Drosophila melanogaster: one gene and its partner. The protein of the gene in region 1 interacts with the protein of each later gene in a pairwise test. Each region holds a gene or a part of one and is shown in the gene's direction. Other genes may lie near its edges. The genes, in order: CG9300 and CG9624.

Region 1 (9,470 bases):
GCATTCTGCTGTTCCAGCCACTCGAATGCACTGTAAAAGCTCTGCAATTAAGGGTTCGTTCCATTTTTTGAGCACATCAGCATTTGGATCACAATAGTCCTCGGTCAACTCATCCTCTGGGTCGTTGGTGTCTTGAGGTGGTGGGAATTGATAGACGAGCTTGTAGATTGTAGAAAAGTTGAGTGTGGAACGTTGAAGCAATGGTAGTATTTCATTTCTTGAGAGGCAAGCATTTTCGAACGGAACTCCCGCAGTCACAGATCCGTGCAAGGCTTCTAGGAGTACACAATGGTTCTCAAACTGTTGAACCTTGTCAGTCGTTTTTAGGGGCGTTTCCAGAAGAGCAGTTAATGTTTCATCGATTCGCTCCAAGCGCTTATACTCATCTTCAATATTTTCCGTTGAGCAAATAACAAACTTGGCCATCGCCTCTGCCATTCCATCCAAAGTATCCGCTTTAAGTTCTGCTGAATTTGCCAATTCCTCAACAATCCCTGCGCAACACTTTAGCATGTCATCATCGATTTCGATATCTTTGCTAGAAAGTCCATCCTGCCAGCAAGTGGTAATTTCCCACAGAGTATCCTCCGACAGATAATCCTCTGGTCGGTGCTCCAAACTAAATTTGAACAGTTTGAGGAAGATGTGTTGGCGCACGTGCAGCGAAGAGTTATTGTTGCTGCAAATCACAGGCATTATCTGGGCAATAAAACTGCCACACACTTCCACCGCGTCATCGACAACCGGTTGCTCCAAGGGTCCGCACATGGACAGCAGTATTTTATCCACAGTTTTAGCATTAATGAGTATGTCTCCCGTGTCAGTTTGGAAAAAACACTTGTGAAGCAAGTTCAGCTTCTCCCGATCATTGTCTACAACAACCTCCTCAGCTATCCGCGCAATCATTTCACAAGTTTCCGGACCACTTAGCATTTGCCTCACGGCGGCCTCGGCGCATAGGGGATATGATAGTAGACGATGCAGCAAAAGATTTTGCACGCCATGTTGTGGAAGCTGTAAAGAATAATAATAATTTAATATTTTTTTTATACACTTTAAAATTGGTAACTACCTTCATGAGAGTGTTTTCAATATATTCAAAGCGTTTTCCAGTCTCTAGCAGCGGCAGGATTTCAAACACGATCTCCACCACAGATTCACAGGCCTGACAACTTAGTTGACCTAGCAGTGACACAAATTTATTTAACGCCGACGCAAGGTCTCCATCATCAGTTAAACTTTTGTAGAACGCGGCATCGTTAAACATTTTTGTAAGCGTTCGAATTTGTTCGATGTAACGCGAGCTCGAAGTACCACTCCCACTGCCTTTGTTGGCCTTATCCAGGCATATGCGCACTAACTTTATAACCAACTGCTTCAATTCCTTTTGTATAAAAGCAGCAGCTTCTTGAGCCTTTTTAACTGGTGTTGTGGGTTCGCTCTTCTCGATCTTTTCGTTTGGCCCCTCGACAAACTTCACACTCGGCGACTCCAGGCTAGGATTAGCCATATGCAGATCCTGCACTAAAAGCAAGACATGTCCGAGCAGTTGCTCATTCACCTCCTCGGCCGATAGGTCTTGTGTGACCAGCTCAAAGATGCGTATCCAGAACTTGTTCAGCAATTTGGCATAAAGGTCACCATTATCCAATCTATTATTAATCTGACGATCCCAGAAGGCCACCAGGGCTGAACTGTGCTGGAAGAAAATTTTTACATGCGTGCTATCGCTTTTGAGCAGCCAGGCAATGGGTTCAAGTACGTTGTTATCGAGTAGGCTAAAGGAAAATTCCTCCTCCTTCTGCTCTCGCTGTTTGTTGTTGTTAATCTGCTGCATCAAGAAGCGTAGGCACTCAAAATATGCATTATGTATCACAATACAATCGGATTTGGAAAGCGGAGGATCGAATTTCTTAGTGACTGCCAGCTTCATGTCGTCAAAGAAGCGCTGATAGAAATCGTAGATATCCAGGTCTTGAAGGGATGCTTGTGTAACTTTCGACAAAAATGGCAGCAGATTGGGACAGATGGCCTGGGCGTTGCGATTGAAACCATTTTGGAGCAAAGACGAAAGTTTGGGGAGAAGTGTCTTGCGAATGTTCAGTGGAACGAACCTACAAATATTAAACTTTATTATTGGAATTCACTTATAGTAGATCCTAGGTCTTACCAATCTACGTAGTTACTTTGTAGGAGCAGAACGCACCCCCAAATGTGGGGAGCCACCACGGGATCTGCATCGTCAATAAACTGAAAGCAGAGGTTAGTCAGCTGCGTCTTCTGAGGCGTGATCACATCCAAAAGTGCAACCGATTGCAGGATGTGATATATGCACTCGAACCAGGCGGCTCTATAAAATGTGAAACAGAAATTAAATACATGGTAAATGACTTGTCTGTTTACTTACTTAATGGCAGGCACTTTATGCTTGGCGAAGCTCCAGAACTTCTGGTGTGCCACCAGGGTGCCGAAGCCCTCCTTGACCTGGCTGAGCTCCTCCGTCTGCGCAGTTTGCCCCATGAAAAAGGACAACAGCTTGAGACTACTGATGATAACGCGCTGGTACTTCTGTTCCGCATCCTCCGGAGTGAGACTTTTCCCAATCGACAGAGTAGCGGCTGTGTGGAAGGTCAGGTTACGTGTGGCGTACTCGAGAATCTCCACCTGACAGTGCATGCAGACTTCCCGAGATCGGTTGGCGTTGCCAGCAAAGGTGTCTCGAAAGGATTGGCTCGCAATACTGGCCGCCGGAGCGTAGGTATCAAATCGGCTGCCCAGCCAAACGGGCACAAGTAACTTTAGATATGGAGCCATCGCCTTTTTACACTTGGCCATGAGCAACTGCAGCACAGTCTGTGTCTGTTCGCGAACAGTGTGCTCCGGATCGCTAGCCAGATTGAGGTAGTACTTGGGCCACAGAGGCAGAATGTTCTTGAGGACCTCCACGTCAGACTGCTCGATCAGTTCGTGTAGCTCCTGCAGCGCCTTCTTCTTCGTCATTGGATCCTTTTTGGACAGCTTTCGAAGGATGATCTGCGTTTGCGGACTGATGGCCGCATCAAAGCTGTCCGGCATTTGTTCGGCGCTGGCGAATCCCGGAGCAAATGGCACCAGGCCACCGCCGTCCGTCTGCGCCGAGAATCCCACGAATATGGGCGTGGAACTGCCCAGCAGCTCGGCTGTTCGGCTGCTGCTCGAGGGCTGGATGATGGGGGGTCGAGGGCACGGTTAAATAACATATTAATACCTTACTACGCCTTACCTTGGCATTATTTTTGGTGCGCGGCGCTTGTTTTGTCTTTCCACCCATTTCTCTCTTCTTCTTCTGTCTCTTCCTCTTATCGATAGCACGTGGCAGGTCCGGCAACCATTTGTGTTCGTATTTCGCAGAGGTCTGGCAGCCTTACTGTCGGTATTTTAAATACCAAAACACTGATTTCAATGGCACGAATCGCCCTGTGGTTTAGTTTTGGATGCCGCTTTGCACGTGCTGCAATTGTTTTCAATTCAATTAAATAATGTCCAAATTCCTGTCCTACTACAACCTGTTTCCCATCCCCGACCCCAAGGAGTTTCTGGGCCTAGCTGCAGACAGGGAAAATGGCAATGTGGTGACTACGTTGGCGCGCAACGTGGTGGTTGTTTTGAACGTGCGTTTGGACACCAAAATATCAAAATGCCCATGTAACAAACGCGATTTCCTTATAGATCAGCACACAAAAGCAGTTGCTCAGTTGGTCCCTGCCGGAGAAGCTTTCCTCCAAGGTTATATACGATCCCAGCAGCCAGAAGTATGTGGGCGTCTTTGGAAATCACGCGCTGCGTCTTTGGGATGTGGACACCAGTGATGTGTCCAAGTGCAAGAAGCTGAAGGTATGGGCAGCTAAAATTCAGCATATAATTGTGGATAATACGCTTTCCTTACAGTTTCAGAAAAGCATCGCTCACGTGGTGGCAACCGAACAGGAGGCATTAATCCTCTACAGCGATGGCGAGTGCCAAACCCTTTCCCAGGCATTGGCTTCGAGAAAGGACCAGAAGGAGGATACGGCTGAGCAACTGGCCCTAGCCGCCAGCAAGGTCATCAGCAAGCCCACAGTCCACGCATTGGCCCAGGGCCAGCAGGTGCTCACATATTTCGAGGAAACAAAGGCCACCGGCGAAATGCAGCTTATCCGCCTCTCCCTGGACACGGCTGACCGGCGGAAGTACCTCATTAAGCGGGAAGAGGTTCGCCTCACGGGATATGCTGTCGTCGAGGGCGATGCAGATCCTCAGTTGCTGACCATTTGTAAGTAACTTTAGTTATATCAGTGTGAGGAATGAGTTTTGATGTAAGAACGAAAACTATAAATTTATTTAATTTTACAGGGTCTGATAAACGCATCTTCATGCTTAACCTGGCGGAGGCCACATCAGAGCGATCCCCTGGACAATTCGTATCTATGCTGGCCGAGCTGAATGTGGAGAGCAAGCTATCCGTGCACGGAGTCTCACGAAACTTTGCTGCCATCTACGGCGCCAACTATGGGCAGGAAGGCGCCTCTCTGTTGGTTTATAACACTCAGTTTAAGGTGGTGAACGCGAAGCAGTACTTTAAAGTGTACCTGGACTTCTCTCGCCTTTGGGCCGGGAATGAGCACATCCTTTTGGCCATGGGGCATAATATAGCGGCGGTCCGTTACCGAATGAACCGGGAGGTGCTGGTGGACATGTTGGGCTCTCAGTTTAGTGATACTCACCTCTCGCCTATTGAATTGGATCACATAAACGAGGAGGAGTATCTGGAGTCGCTTATTAAGTTTGATGGTAGTACGAAACCCTTAAATTATAGAGCTGTGAAATCCCAGTTAAATAAGCAGATGCCCAACTTGGACTACCAAAAAGCTGATGGCCGGGAGTTGGCTTACGATCCTCCCGAGGTAGTGGATCAAGAGATCGACGAAATTATCAAACAGCATGTTCATGGAGAGGCGACCATTTGCGAGAATGGGCTGGAGGACGTGAGTGTCACTCTAATGACGAACTTCTTTGACAAGGGGCCGAATAATACAGCTGTGCAGGCTTTAGTCCGGCAGCTGGAGAGAAGTGGAGCTGGGGAAGAGGAAATCATCGAAAGGATTCTCACACTTTTCATCAAGACCGACAACACAGAGCATGTCCTGATGTGTCTTAGGCGCTACAGCAACATATCGGAGAGAATGCTGGCCTGGTCACTGCGCTATGCTCTAGATAAATGCAAGCCTCGTCATGCTATTAATGGCGATTCCAACGCTGTACCAACGGCTAAGAGTTACTCCAACAAGGAACTGCTAAATGCAGTGCTAGCCTGCAGATTTGATGCCACCGGCATCGAGGAGCATCTGCGTTACCGACTGGAGCTCTCCCATGTCCAGCACTTGATGAGCCACCTGTTCGATCTGGTCAATGACCCCAATGTCCAGTTGGAGGAACGACCCAGCCTGAATTGCTCGCCAATTCAAACGGAAGTACAGGCCATCCAGTGGTTTGGCTGCATCTTGACCTCCCATTTCACCCTGCTGATTATTTCCAAGGACGAGGCATTGCTCGAGACTCTCTCCGAATGGGCCACTTTCCTCTCCTTCTACGAAGAAAGTTTATTCGATTTAGCCAATTTGCTGCCGCTGCTCACAAATATTGTGGAGAAACGTCAGGTGAAACCGATGTACTCTACAAATTGGTATGGGATTGAGGAGGTGGTGCTCTACTAGAAAAATAATAAAGGTCTTTAGTGTTTCCTTAAGTTTGTTTTTTACTGAATAAGCCAAATAAACCTAGAATTAACTTTTATTTATATTGATTGTATTCAATCTTATTCATGATAGGTGTTACTATTATCTTTTACACAATAGTATTGTGTGATTTATTAGTCAGAAGATGGCAATGAGCTTTTCATGGAATCCATATACGGCGAAACAAATTAAAGTTTTGTTTGCACAAAATCTTTAAATTCGGGATTTCTACCTTTTGTAAAACGTACACATATCACTCAGTTTTTTCTTATTGAAGTTCAGATTTATTTGGTAATGATCGGACGGATGGCCGAATTAACACAGCTTCATGTTTACCATGAAAGTTGCCGACTCTATAAAGTATATTTATTCTTGATCGGAATTACCAGTCGATGTCCGTCCCGTCTAGAAAGTTAAGGTGAAGAATGTAGATTTTAGTACTGTCAATCCCACAGAACGCCCAAACCTACCAAAGCGACCACACTTGAAAAAAAATATTTGAAATTATGCAATATTTTTTATTGTTTGTTTGTTGGTCACGCTAACAAACAGCAACTGCAAGTTGTCACTCTCAATTCCTAAAAATCATTTGATATTTTTCTTTTATTATTTTTTACCAATATATAAATAGGTAAAGTTATATCAAGAGAACTTTTAAAATTCTCCCTGCCCACTATATGTGTGTTTATATGTATACCTTAGGCCATATGTTTTTTTTTTTTTATTTTCTTATGTACGAATCCAGTTCTAAGGCCGATATTATTTTAACCTTAATAGTTCAAGTTTAATAAAATTTGAACAATAAGACAAACGAACAATTTTCATATGAAAATATAGTTAAAAAGAATGCACTGAATGTTTCGAGACATTTAGTTTGGCACAAACATTTTGCAAATGCGTACAGGATGAAAATTTTCAGTAAACAAAACAGCTTCTAAATCGAGTGACAGTTGAGTAAGATTTAGTGACTAGATGAAATGTCTTCAACGTTTCGCAGAGTATACCTATATATATACAACTTTAAGCCACATCCAAATGACCACAAAGTATCTTGGCCATTATCAAAACTGTACCAGCTGCCTGGTAAAATTAAGCCGAAAACTTTTCCATCAATCGCAGACGATCCGAGCACAAGCGACCAGAGAGACAAGTCAATTCATTTCCCCTAACAAAAAATCAGTACACCTTTAAAAACTCATATACAAATACATTAGCTTTTTAAATATTTTGATATCGTTTCGAATTAGTTATTTCTATCATTAATTAATAATTTTGCCTTCCTTCCTTTAGCTGTGTAATGAGTATCTGAAAGCCGAGTAGCTTGTAACTGAAAATAGGATGCGTATAATGAGCGTTAGAATCAGTTAATGCAAATTACAAACTTCTTGCTTATAAGCATATATCTTATTATATAAAAGCATAGTTTTACTCAAAGAGTCACCGATTTTTTTCCGTGTTTAAGCCAAGGTCCAGCAACAACCCACTTGGTCCAAGTCCACTGCTTCCTTACCACTTTCTCTGCACCTTTCTTTCGAATCAATCTCGACCCGAATGAGCCACTTGAGAGCGATGACCAGCCAAAAAGCGGCAAAATAATGAGCAAGTCGAGTTGGGGTTTTACAAAAATAGCCCCCCTCCTCGGTTGATTCACTGGCCGTCTTTGATTACGACGAGGGTCAGGGACCACTGGCAGCATCGTTCTTTTTGTGGCACTAGAACTGTGGCTATTCAAATCACCGGCAAGCCGAAGTCATCGCAATGGATGTGGGCTTTTGTTCTGGCAGCATTTCTCCTGATTGTAAGCCGGAGATTTATCGCGTGCTGGATGGGAACGGGGGGCATCAAAACCTGCTTGTAACGTCATAAAATCGAGATAAATTATTTAATTTTCGATTTCCTAAAACCATTAAGCAATGGCAGAAGAGCCCGACGCCTAGCTACCCCATAACCAAGAGCAAGATGCCGAGTCATACCAGGAGAGACAATCACAATCTGCTGGCCCTTATATAAAGTGTGTATATGTATATGTACACATATAGACGTGTATACCTGAACATAATGATGGTTCGCTGCCGATGCTGCGCTGCCTCCGCTGACCGCTGGCTGCTGCATCCACTGCAGAGACGAAGGATGTGGATAGGGCATAGGCACACATGCATACGCCTACCTGGACACAGGTAGCTCGGCCTCCGCAGGTAAGCAAGTCTTTGGCCCGGCAAACACTGCCGCAGATATGTATGTGCGTCCATACAGATTCCTCTGCTCGTTACTTGTTGCAAACAAGCGCTGAGGACTGAGGAGGGGGGACAGCACCACAGACTCAACCGGCTGCCCCTGCCCCATGCTGGGCACCACCGGCAACATTTAGCAGCGTCATGATCATCAGGGCCCAGGCACTGGGCACTAGGGACTCATGACCAAAGCCAGCCGGACTGGTTAGGGATTTGGCCCGAGATTGGTTTGGCGCTGCAGAGGAAAGATGCAACATCGGTCAGCTTCAGGGCTGCAGCATCATGGTATAAAAAGGAGACTAGTTATCAATTCGGGATATATGTTTCGCTGCTTTTGTTTGTTAATACAAATTAAAATAAAATATATCTTAAAAATATTGCTGTTAAAATATTTTATTAAAGTTTTCACGTACAACAAAAGTCGGTAATTTATTTAATAACCTAAATACTTGCAAAGTAATTTATTTAGCGTTGCTATTCTCTGAACATATATCTTGAACCTGATAAAAAATAATCCTAAAAAAAATAAAATAATAATAAAAGTATTTTTGAGCTAGAAAATGATAATGTTGGTATGAAAACATTATTATATACATATGTATATAAAATATAAAAATTTTCCAAACGAAAAAAGATTCACTAGTGGTAATCACCTGTGAATCGTGGTCCATCCCTGGACCAATTGCAGCTGCCTGTAAGCCAAATCGAGTGACTTGGCACTTGGCATCCTTAGTCCCTTCCTTCGAAATGTTACTTTTTCTGTTGGTTATTTTTTTCTACCCTTCACTCACACACACTCGCCTACAGATGCACCATCTCTGGAGTTGTGCCCACTCTTTCTTTACGTATTCCCCCTTTTTTGTGTGTTTTTGATTTTCTTTTGGAAACGACAAACCGGCCGGCATTATTTTTAGAATTTTCAGTCAAACTTGTTACCAGGCTGGGGCGAAACTGGCTTCGGGGCTGCAACAAAAACAAAAAACAGCCAGCAGCCAGCAAAAATGCAATGATCTTGTTCCCATTCCACGTCTTGTGTCTCTCCCTGTATAACCAAAAAGGTGACTTTGTCTCAGTCCCCCGCCTTATGGCCGCCACACAGCCATATAGCTATATACATACGTATGTATGTAGCCATATGTATCTGGGTATCTTTGTATCTGTGGCTCGGCATTGTTACTGTTCTCTGACTTTTGGTGTCCGAAAACCCGAATGGTGCTCGAAAATTGTATCGATCTTGGCCATTTGCCGGTGGAAGTTTGGGTTTGGGTTCCACAGCCACCTTTTGTGTTCTTCCTCTTTCACGCAGCATCATCATGATCTCGGTGATCATTATAATGCCCATGCCCATGCCAATGCCGATTCCGATGCCGATGCCGAACAGGGGGGTACAGTTTCGCTCCGAACTGAAAAGTTATCATTTTGATTCTCTCTTTTTCAGAGGCTGCTGGTTTGGTTGGTTTCGCCGCACGGCCGCTTTCTTTCGGGT
Region 2 (7,964 bases), on another chromosome or scaffold:
ATATATCATTTCGTTTAGCAAATAACAAATATCACTGCCCAGTGCTGGAATTTCAACATCGAAATGGAAAGAGAGAGAGAGAGAGGGAAAAACGATGGCCAGAACGAGAGGCAAATAAAGATAAATAGTGTTTGGAAATGTTTTCGTGTTGCCTCTGCAGATGAAACGAAAATCCATAGACTCCGGACCGAAGCGAAGGTCCTGGGAGAATCCTCCTCATTCTCCACAAATATCTCCCTGTTTTCCCCATTTCGCTGTCGTATAAATAAATACGTAGAGAGCATCGCATTTGCAACATTTATTGAGTCGTTGAACGAGTTGAATGAGTTCGGGTTTGCTTTTTTTCTTTATTTTTAAACTCTAGCTGAAAGGCTCCACACCATCCGGCAAAGACTAAACGAGCATACTATACCCAGCTTAAATATTGATTTACGACCACACACACCCTTCGCTGAGAAAGAGAGGGCTAGAGGCGAGGAGAGAGAGATGGAGCGACAATGGTCAAGCGCAAAACAATGCAGGCAGTTGGAATTTGTTTTTAAGTTATGACCAGGCGAGAATTTCTATTTTACTGTGAAATCTGTAATTTTCCCCGACAGCAAGGCAAAACTTTATGAGAACAAGCATCATGGAATCCGTTTATCTTGTCTTCAAATTGCTTTGCAAGCTCTCAATAATGACTTAAATCGTTGCATAAATTGATTAATGGATTTAATTATTTTTGATCAAGAAATCAGGAATAATAATCAATAGAACATCTTAATCTTTACACATTACAATGCGATGTGAAAACTCGTAAAACATAATAACCAGCAGGTTGATAAAGTTACCTAAAAAGTGCGCCTATTCCTCTAGTCAAGTGCAGAGTTTCCAGGACCCATTGAGACCCACTTTCATCGCACCCCAAGCGTCTTGAGGATCCTCAAGCCAACTGATAGCTTTGACTGCACCCAAGGGAAATCGTAATCAGCAGTTGGGTCGAATTCGAAATTGCATTCATTAGACGGCTGTGGCTTCGAGGGAAAATTGAATGTCAAGTGCAGGACGAGGAAAATTTAAGGCGACTGCCACTCCATGGCAGTCTGCAGCCAAAAACAAGAAGAGGAATAAGACCAGGAATAAGACGATCCGATGGAATGCCTTGCGATGCAGACAAAATGCGCAAATTGGTTTCACTTGACAGGGCAAGCGTGAAAACGATGTTGTACTAGTCCTGCTCGACGCTTTTCCCGCTCGACTTGAGCCGGAAAACTTGGCCCAAGTTGCGGCAAACTTTGTGACCGTTTTGCACACGTTGCGCATTCGCCGCGTACGCCGACGCGCCCACATGGCGTATGACAAATGTGCCCTCAGCTGATTCGCAAATCGCTGGGCACGACACTAGCCATTAGAATAGATTAGAGCATCTGGGGATTTGGGACAAACCTGGTAAGCAGCACTCAGCACCCAAGGTGTTTGCAATTGCTTTGTCAGCCTCCACTATTATTGCGGTCTGTTTGCGCTGCCCTCTGGTGTCATAATAATTAAATGGAATTAATGCCTGGCCGGCCAGAAATTCATCACTCCAACCATCTATTGCTGCTATTGCTACACTGCGAAAAATGTATTGGCTTTGATGCCCTTTTATGATTTAATAAGCATATATTTATGATGCAATCTTAATAATGTTTCTTGGAATCAAGTTTAAACGAAAATCATGTTCTCTTTAGTTATAGTAAGATATTCTTTAGATTAGAAAGTTGAAAGGTCTTGTTTATGGGACAGTTTTTTCTCGGTGTTGTGGTGCGTGCCGCATTCGCTTTGTTATTTGAGGTGGCAGACTCATTTGTAAGCCAGTCCAGGTTCCCAGACCGAGGGAATCTCTTGAGGTGCCTTGAGCCAGCGCTTTGTTCGTAGGTTTTGTTTTGCTTATGAATACCCGGCCTTGAACTGAAATAAAGAAGCTGTCGTCCGACTTTCACTTCACTCGCACAATATGAATGTGGGTGTTTTCGGAAAATGTTCAAGGAACCATTCCATACATGTCCAACTACCCACGCAAATGTGTACGAATTTATGTTCTTAGTCCGCTGCCCAATTTTCGGATCAAAATAACAATAATTGAATATTTAAGTTGCTACTTTGAAATATATATTTATCAACACCTGACAAAAAACAGATTTTAAATAATAAATATTCTTTTTTATTGGTGCTGTCAAAACGGAGGATTGCGAAACAAAAGAAATTCTGCGCATATTATATTTTCACAATTTTAAAACTTTCCCAATTGTAAAATAATAGTCAATTTCGTTTTCTTATGAGCTGCTATAGCTAACAACTTGCATAAAAGATATCAACGACGAGAACATTGCACCAGTGTTTTTCGATGATTGATGGATGAACAGCACTGCATCAATCATATTTTTTTCACACTCTAGTGATAATTTAATTCATATTCAATAGTCTGATGGTGGCAAGTTTAAAAAGTCCCTTTACTTGCCTTCATATTCAAGCATTCCCTTTTGAGACGCTGAATTCCGCGTATCTATTTTTCTGGCAAAAAAATTCTGTAAGGCTTTTATTTATGTAGAGAACCTCAAACCGCAGAACGGGTTCAAAGTGCATCTACTGGAAGTTCCTGTGGCCTTTTCTCTGCGGTGTGCCAACTCAAATGCATAGCCAAAAAAAAAAAAATAATAAAAAAAATGACTCCAGTTTTACGCTCGAGTTTTGTGTATATTTTCCGTTTGATGTTGGGGCTGCTTTTCCATTTGTCGAATGCTTAAAGCCATTTGAAAATGATTGGCTTTTATGTCAATAAGCGTCTCAGTTGTCCTTACTTGTTTCAGTTTTTCTTTTGCATGGCTTTTTCCTTGACTTTTTTTAATACAGCTGACTTCGCTTTTTCTTTCGGTTTTTGCTCTCGCGGTTTTCTCTTACAGTCTGACGCTTAAGTGCCCCAATAAAACACAATAAATATACACATAAATTTTTATACACATCCCGCATATAGAGGACAACTTTTTTTTGTGGCCAGAGAGCTGGAAAAAGTCGTCGCGTTTTGATAGATGAAACGAAATAAAAAGTAAAACAAATACGGTGTTTTTAGCTCCCGGTCACTTATGGCTTTAAATTTTCCAGCGAAAGCAAAATTAAATTTTGAAAATTAGAAGGCAACTAAGGCTAACCGGATGCGATAAATCATCGTGGTAAAATTAAAATCGTGGGTTCGAATCAAAATTTCGCACTGGCGCTGAATATTAAAACAATAAGTGTTTGAACATCGAGGCGTAAAATAGGCATTCGTCACTCGGTTTTCGGTGCACCGACATAAATCTAAATTCAAACCTTTTGTGGATTGGATTTTTGCTAGGTGCCTTCGATTTGTAAGCCCACTGATTGTGTTCAACGTGGCACGAACAATTGATTTATGAAAATTTATTGCTCACATGCGGAGGACCAAAAACCAGGCGCCCGAGCGCCCTGCGATAGGCAACACTTTGTGTTTGAAATTAAAGCTGCCACGCCGCGAGCAATAAAAGCAAAGCCATAAAAGCTAATGAGCCCGAAAACTCGTCACCGTTGTCACAGCCATTTCCCCTTCGGATCTGCCACGCCCTCCTTAAACTAATATATATGTATGTATGTTCGAACTGGGGCATAATGAAAATCGCGGCCATCTTGTTGCGCCTGCATTCCGTCATAAAATCCTGTTTCACCTCACTGTTTCAGCTCATAAAATAATGGCGATCGTCGGCTACCGTGAATATACGGCATGGAATGTCGTAAAATTTACGCAAATTGTTGTTGCCGATTCCCGATGAGAATACTTACTTACCGTTATTGCCTGTGAGTGCGCATAAATTTGGCAACAAATGCAAACAAACAAGTTTAGCTATAGAAAAATGTGGGAGGGCTTTGTTATTAGGGGGCGTGCCAGTAGCTGATTTATTTCGCTGATAGGAAGGGATGTGCTTTCACTGCTGCGAATTTTTTGAAAAAAGATAATAAGCATATATACATTTTATAAATTTTAATTCTTATTTTAAGCTACGAAACTAAAGACTCTGTAAACATGTTAATATACGTAAAAATCTGTTGAAATAATGTATATTAAGTTTTGGGCTGAAATTAAGAAATCCAAATATTTCTAGGTGTATTTTAATGTAGATGCCAGCAGATTTGTGTCACCCTATTAAGCATTTGATAGCGAGGCAACGGAAATTCTGCCATAGACACACATTTGCTAGCCAGGCCAAATTACATGAATAGAAATTCCAAGTACCCAAAATGAATACCTCCGAAGTCAAACGAACGCTGGGTAGCCCCTTCTTCGACGTGCTATGGCCATTGATCCTGGACGAGAATGTCTGTCGCATCGAGACCAAGCCGGACGAATTCTTTGTGCCCCGGCAGCCCTTCAATCGACTGGATTGGCATATCTATCTGTCCCAGGTGGGCTTTCCTTTCTACATGCCGCCACATGAGCTGCGCTGCTGCAAAGGAGCCCAAAGGGAGGAGATCGAGAACGAGGATGCTGAGAATGCCTTAAACCAGGAGGTGGAGGAGCGAACGGCGTCGAATCAGGTGGACTTTCTGCGCCATGGATCCCGGGACATTAGACCCATAGATGAGGTGGTAAACAAACTGAGGATGGAGCAGGAGCGTCGCCAGAAGTTGGCGTACGACTTTGCCAATCGGCGCTATCCTTGGACCATGCAAACTCCCAGTCACGAACTGGGCTTCACCATCACTGAGGAGCTGCAGAAGTGCTTCAAGGGACCCATGGAGCTGGACATCTTGAGGGCCATTCATGATCACGACTGCAAGCTAATGATTATCGATCTGGGCACTGATGTGGACATTAAGGACTGCCAGCGCTGGATAAAGTTTCGTCCATATATTCAGTTACTGGCATTGCCTCGAACACCTCGCATGGAACGATCGCTTCAGGTGCTCAATGTCTTCCACACGTATTTGGTGGAAGAATCGGCTGATAACTCATGGCACGATGAGGTGCAATACTCCCTTCGCACAGCTTTTGTGCACGCACAGAAAAATCAGCTCCTTAAGTCCTGCGGAGAGCCATTTGTCTTCGTATTTAGTCGTTTTCGTGGCATCTGCACCTGCGATACCTATAAGATAATCCGACGGGCATAGAACAAATTCTTTCAATTAATTTCCATCAGCAGTTATTAGCAAATGCCAACTGAAGTTGCTATAGACAAGTAATTATTTATTGCTTTTAAAAAAATTTCAAAATGTAAAAAAAATCTCAAGTTTACACAAGATTATATATATTACATGCAATAAATCGAATTTAAACATCATAACATCTGTTTTAGCCCAGTTTAATACTTATTCACGTCGCCTAATTTGATACGACTTGATTTGCTCCGCCCGGCCGTTCAAGCCATCATGTTGAAGTGGCGCCCGAACAGGAACCGCTTCAATTAGGCCGCCCAATTGGAGCTGCCTTCAAGTGCAGTCAGACGCACGCTACCTGCCACTTGCCACCCGATTATTGACGCAGGCGGAAGCCTGCACCACCATTTTCCGATGTGTTGTCAAAGTGCCTCCGCTAAGTTGGCAGACTTGAGCCCACGGCACAATTCACAACAAGTTTGTTTGCGAAAAAGAAACGAAATCGAAAAATTTCGCACCAAATCTCAACAAATTATTACAAAGCTTAACAAACTTGAAACTGATTATAAAAGTTGCCGGCAGGCAGTTGGGGCAAATTGGGGGACCGGCGGCCACAATGCAGCAAAATTGAGTTGCGGGTATCGTGAAGTTAGGAGCACTTCCCCTCATTCTCTACGGGCTTCCTTTTTGTTTTGTTGGAAAAAGTTTTTTTTGGCCAAATGCGTTGTCGCTATAAACGTCGACCCACAAACATAATTTTCAATAGAAATTCACATAAGCCACCTTGCCACGCCTGATAATAGCTTTGAGCAAAACTTACGCGATTTTTAAGAGGAGCCGCCACAGATCTTGAAAATGTAAAAAGTCAGTAGAAGTATAGAAAAATAAATTTAAAAAGTAATACTTTTCTTATCAGTTCGTAAATGTTTCTTATAGCATCAAAAACAAATTGCCCAAACAAATAAGATAAATTAAAGAGTACTTGTGCTTTAAAAGCCAATGCTAGCTGTTTAAATTTTAAATTGCTGTCAGGCGTAAACTAAGCCACAAAAAGTTGTGTTTTACAACAGTTCTCGATTGATACTGAACAGTTTTTTGCTATAAAAATTGAGCAAGATCAGAAAAAGAGAAGAAAATATTTCTTCAGTTAGCTACGAGCATATCATATATATACGAGTACATACAGTGGGTTTGTAAAACAAGTCACATGTTTACTTAGATGGGGATTTTTCTCTCAACAGTAGCTCCTCTGTTAAATAGTTCCGTGGAGAACCAGGTTCTTAAATAGCTGTTAGTTAGTTGAATGATTAAAAATAGTACTAAGCCGAAGACTTGATATGGCTGGGAATAACCAGTGATCACTCAATGGGGGTGCTCCGCAATCTGGCGAGAGATCAGCTGTTACATGGAGAGGGAGTGCATCGATAGTCGCTTGTGGATTCCGATTTCGATCCCAGTTCTCATTCAGTTCCATTCAGCATTGGTTGTTACCGTCGCAATGACAATCTTGTGGCTGACCTTGCTGGGCCTTTGTCTCAATCTGAAACTCGGGTCGGCGTTGCACGTGCCGCAGCATAATTGTGAGAGGTATTTCTCCTACTACAAAGAGGACAGTGGAGCCTACATTGGCGTCTTCACGGCGCCACGCGCTGGTGTGAACAGCCTATCATGGGAGGTGGTTTTCACTGCTCACGGAACTGGTGAGGTAAAGCCCTAACAAATTACATATATATTTGTTTATTTCAACTGATTCAACATTCTGATATCCCCCCATGCAGGCAAACACTGTGGGCTCACTCATTCCGTATCCCAATAAGGAAAGGGCCTTTGAAAAGATACACAGCGGAGAACGTGGCGAGGTGTTTGTGCGTTTCACGGATTTTGGAAACGAGCTGCCCAAACTTGTCCGGGCGGAATTCAACGGCGAGGTTCTGTGTCAAAATGAGGAGTGTGAGTAATAATAAAACTAGATAGAATATCTTTAGTTAAATTACTTTGAAATAATTATTGTTACCCTAAAGATATTCTATATAGTAGATGATCTCATATAGTTGATGATAATTTTCTCATATCTTTCTTTTTACTTTGTGCAGATGATGCCCCTTCAAGCACAATGACCCGACGCCAGTCCATGTCCACCTCAACGCCAATTAGTCAAAAGTCAGCACCAAGAGAAATAGTGCGTCAGCGGCGTCCGCCGCCGAGCACACCGAGCAATGACCCCAATCCTTTCCTTCCTTCAATCATGCCCAGAATAGATTCGGACTTTGAGGAATGCGGCGTTGAGGGCTTTTCGCCTCTTCAAATCGGAGGCGACCTGGTGACCCGCGGTCAGTACCCCTGGCTCGCGGCCCTTTACGAAGGTGTTGGCACGGCTACATACAAATGCGTGGTGTCGGTTATCTCCAAACGGACTGTGATCACGGCAGCTCACTGCATTTATGGAAAGAGCGCCAGCCAGCTTTGGGTCTATTTGGGCAGGCATGATCGCAACGAGAATCCTGAGAATGGAGCCTCCCTGGTTAGCGTGACCAGCGTGCTGACTCCGTCCGCCTACGAGGGCAATCCAGTTCCGGATGCGGACGTTGGTCTGCTGGTGCTGACCTCTCCGATGGTGTACACCAAGTACATTCGACCCCTCTGCCTTTGGGGCTCCAATATGGGATTGCCACCGAATGAGGGCGATACTGGAGCAGTAGCCGGTTGGGGCTACGACAGGAGTGCCCAGAAGACGCGGTTTCCCAAGACAGTGAGTGTTCGATTGGTGCCCCGGGATCAGTGTCTCAAGGAGATGAAGCGGGCGGAGGACTTCATCACGCGGCGGACCGTCTGTGCCGGCA

Evidence for each region.
Region 2: the proteins of CG9300 (region 1) and CG9624 interact in a two-hybrid assay, tested with the Drosophila melanogaster proteins (one large-scale study listed by BioGRID).

Annotation. Positions count from the first base shown.
Region 1 is NT_037436.4:19,548,958-19,558,427, forward strand, and holds CG9300 (uncharacterized protein), read left to right. Parts: upstream 1-3,462; 5' UTR 3,463-3,518; coding exon 3,519-3,650; intron 3,651-3,708; coding exon 3,709-3,873; intron 3,874-3,927; coding exon 3,928-4,291; intron 4,292-4,371; coding exon 4,372-5,732; 3' UTR 5,733-5,810; downstream 5,811-9,470. Other genes in the region: Ltn1 (listerin E3 ubiquitin protein ligase 1), read right to left, coding at 1-1,014, 1,073-2,114, 2,171-2,350, 2,408-3,201, 3,263-3,310.
Region 2 is NT_033777.3:14,225,375-14,233,338, reverse strand, and holds CG9624 (uncharacterized protein), read left to right. Parts: upstream 1-4,193; 5' UTR 4,194-4,269; coding exon 4,270-5,139; 3' UTR 5,140-5,321; downstream 5,322-7,964. Other genes in the region: CG9631 (uncharacterized protein), read left to right, coding at 6,623-6,829, 6,903-7,074, 7,218-7,964.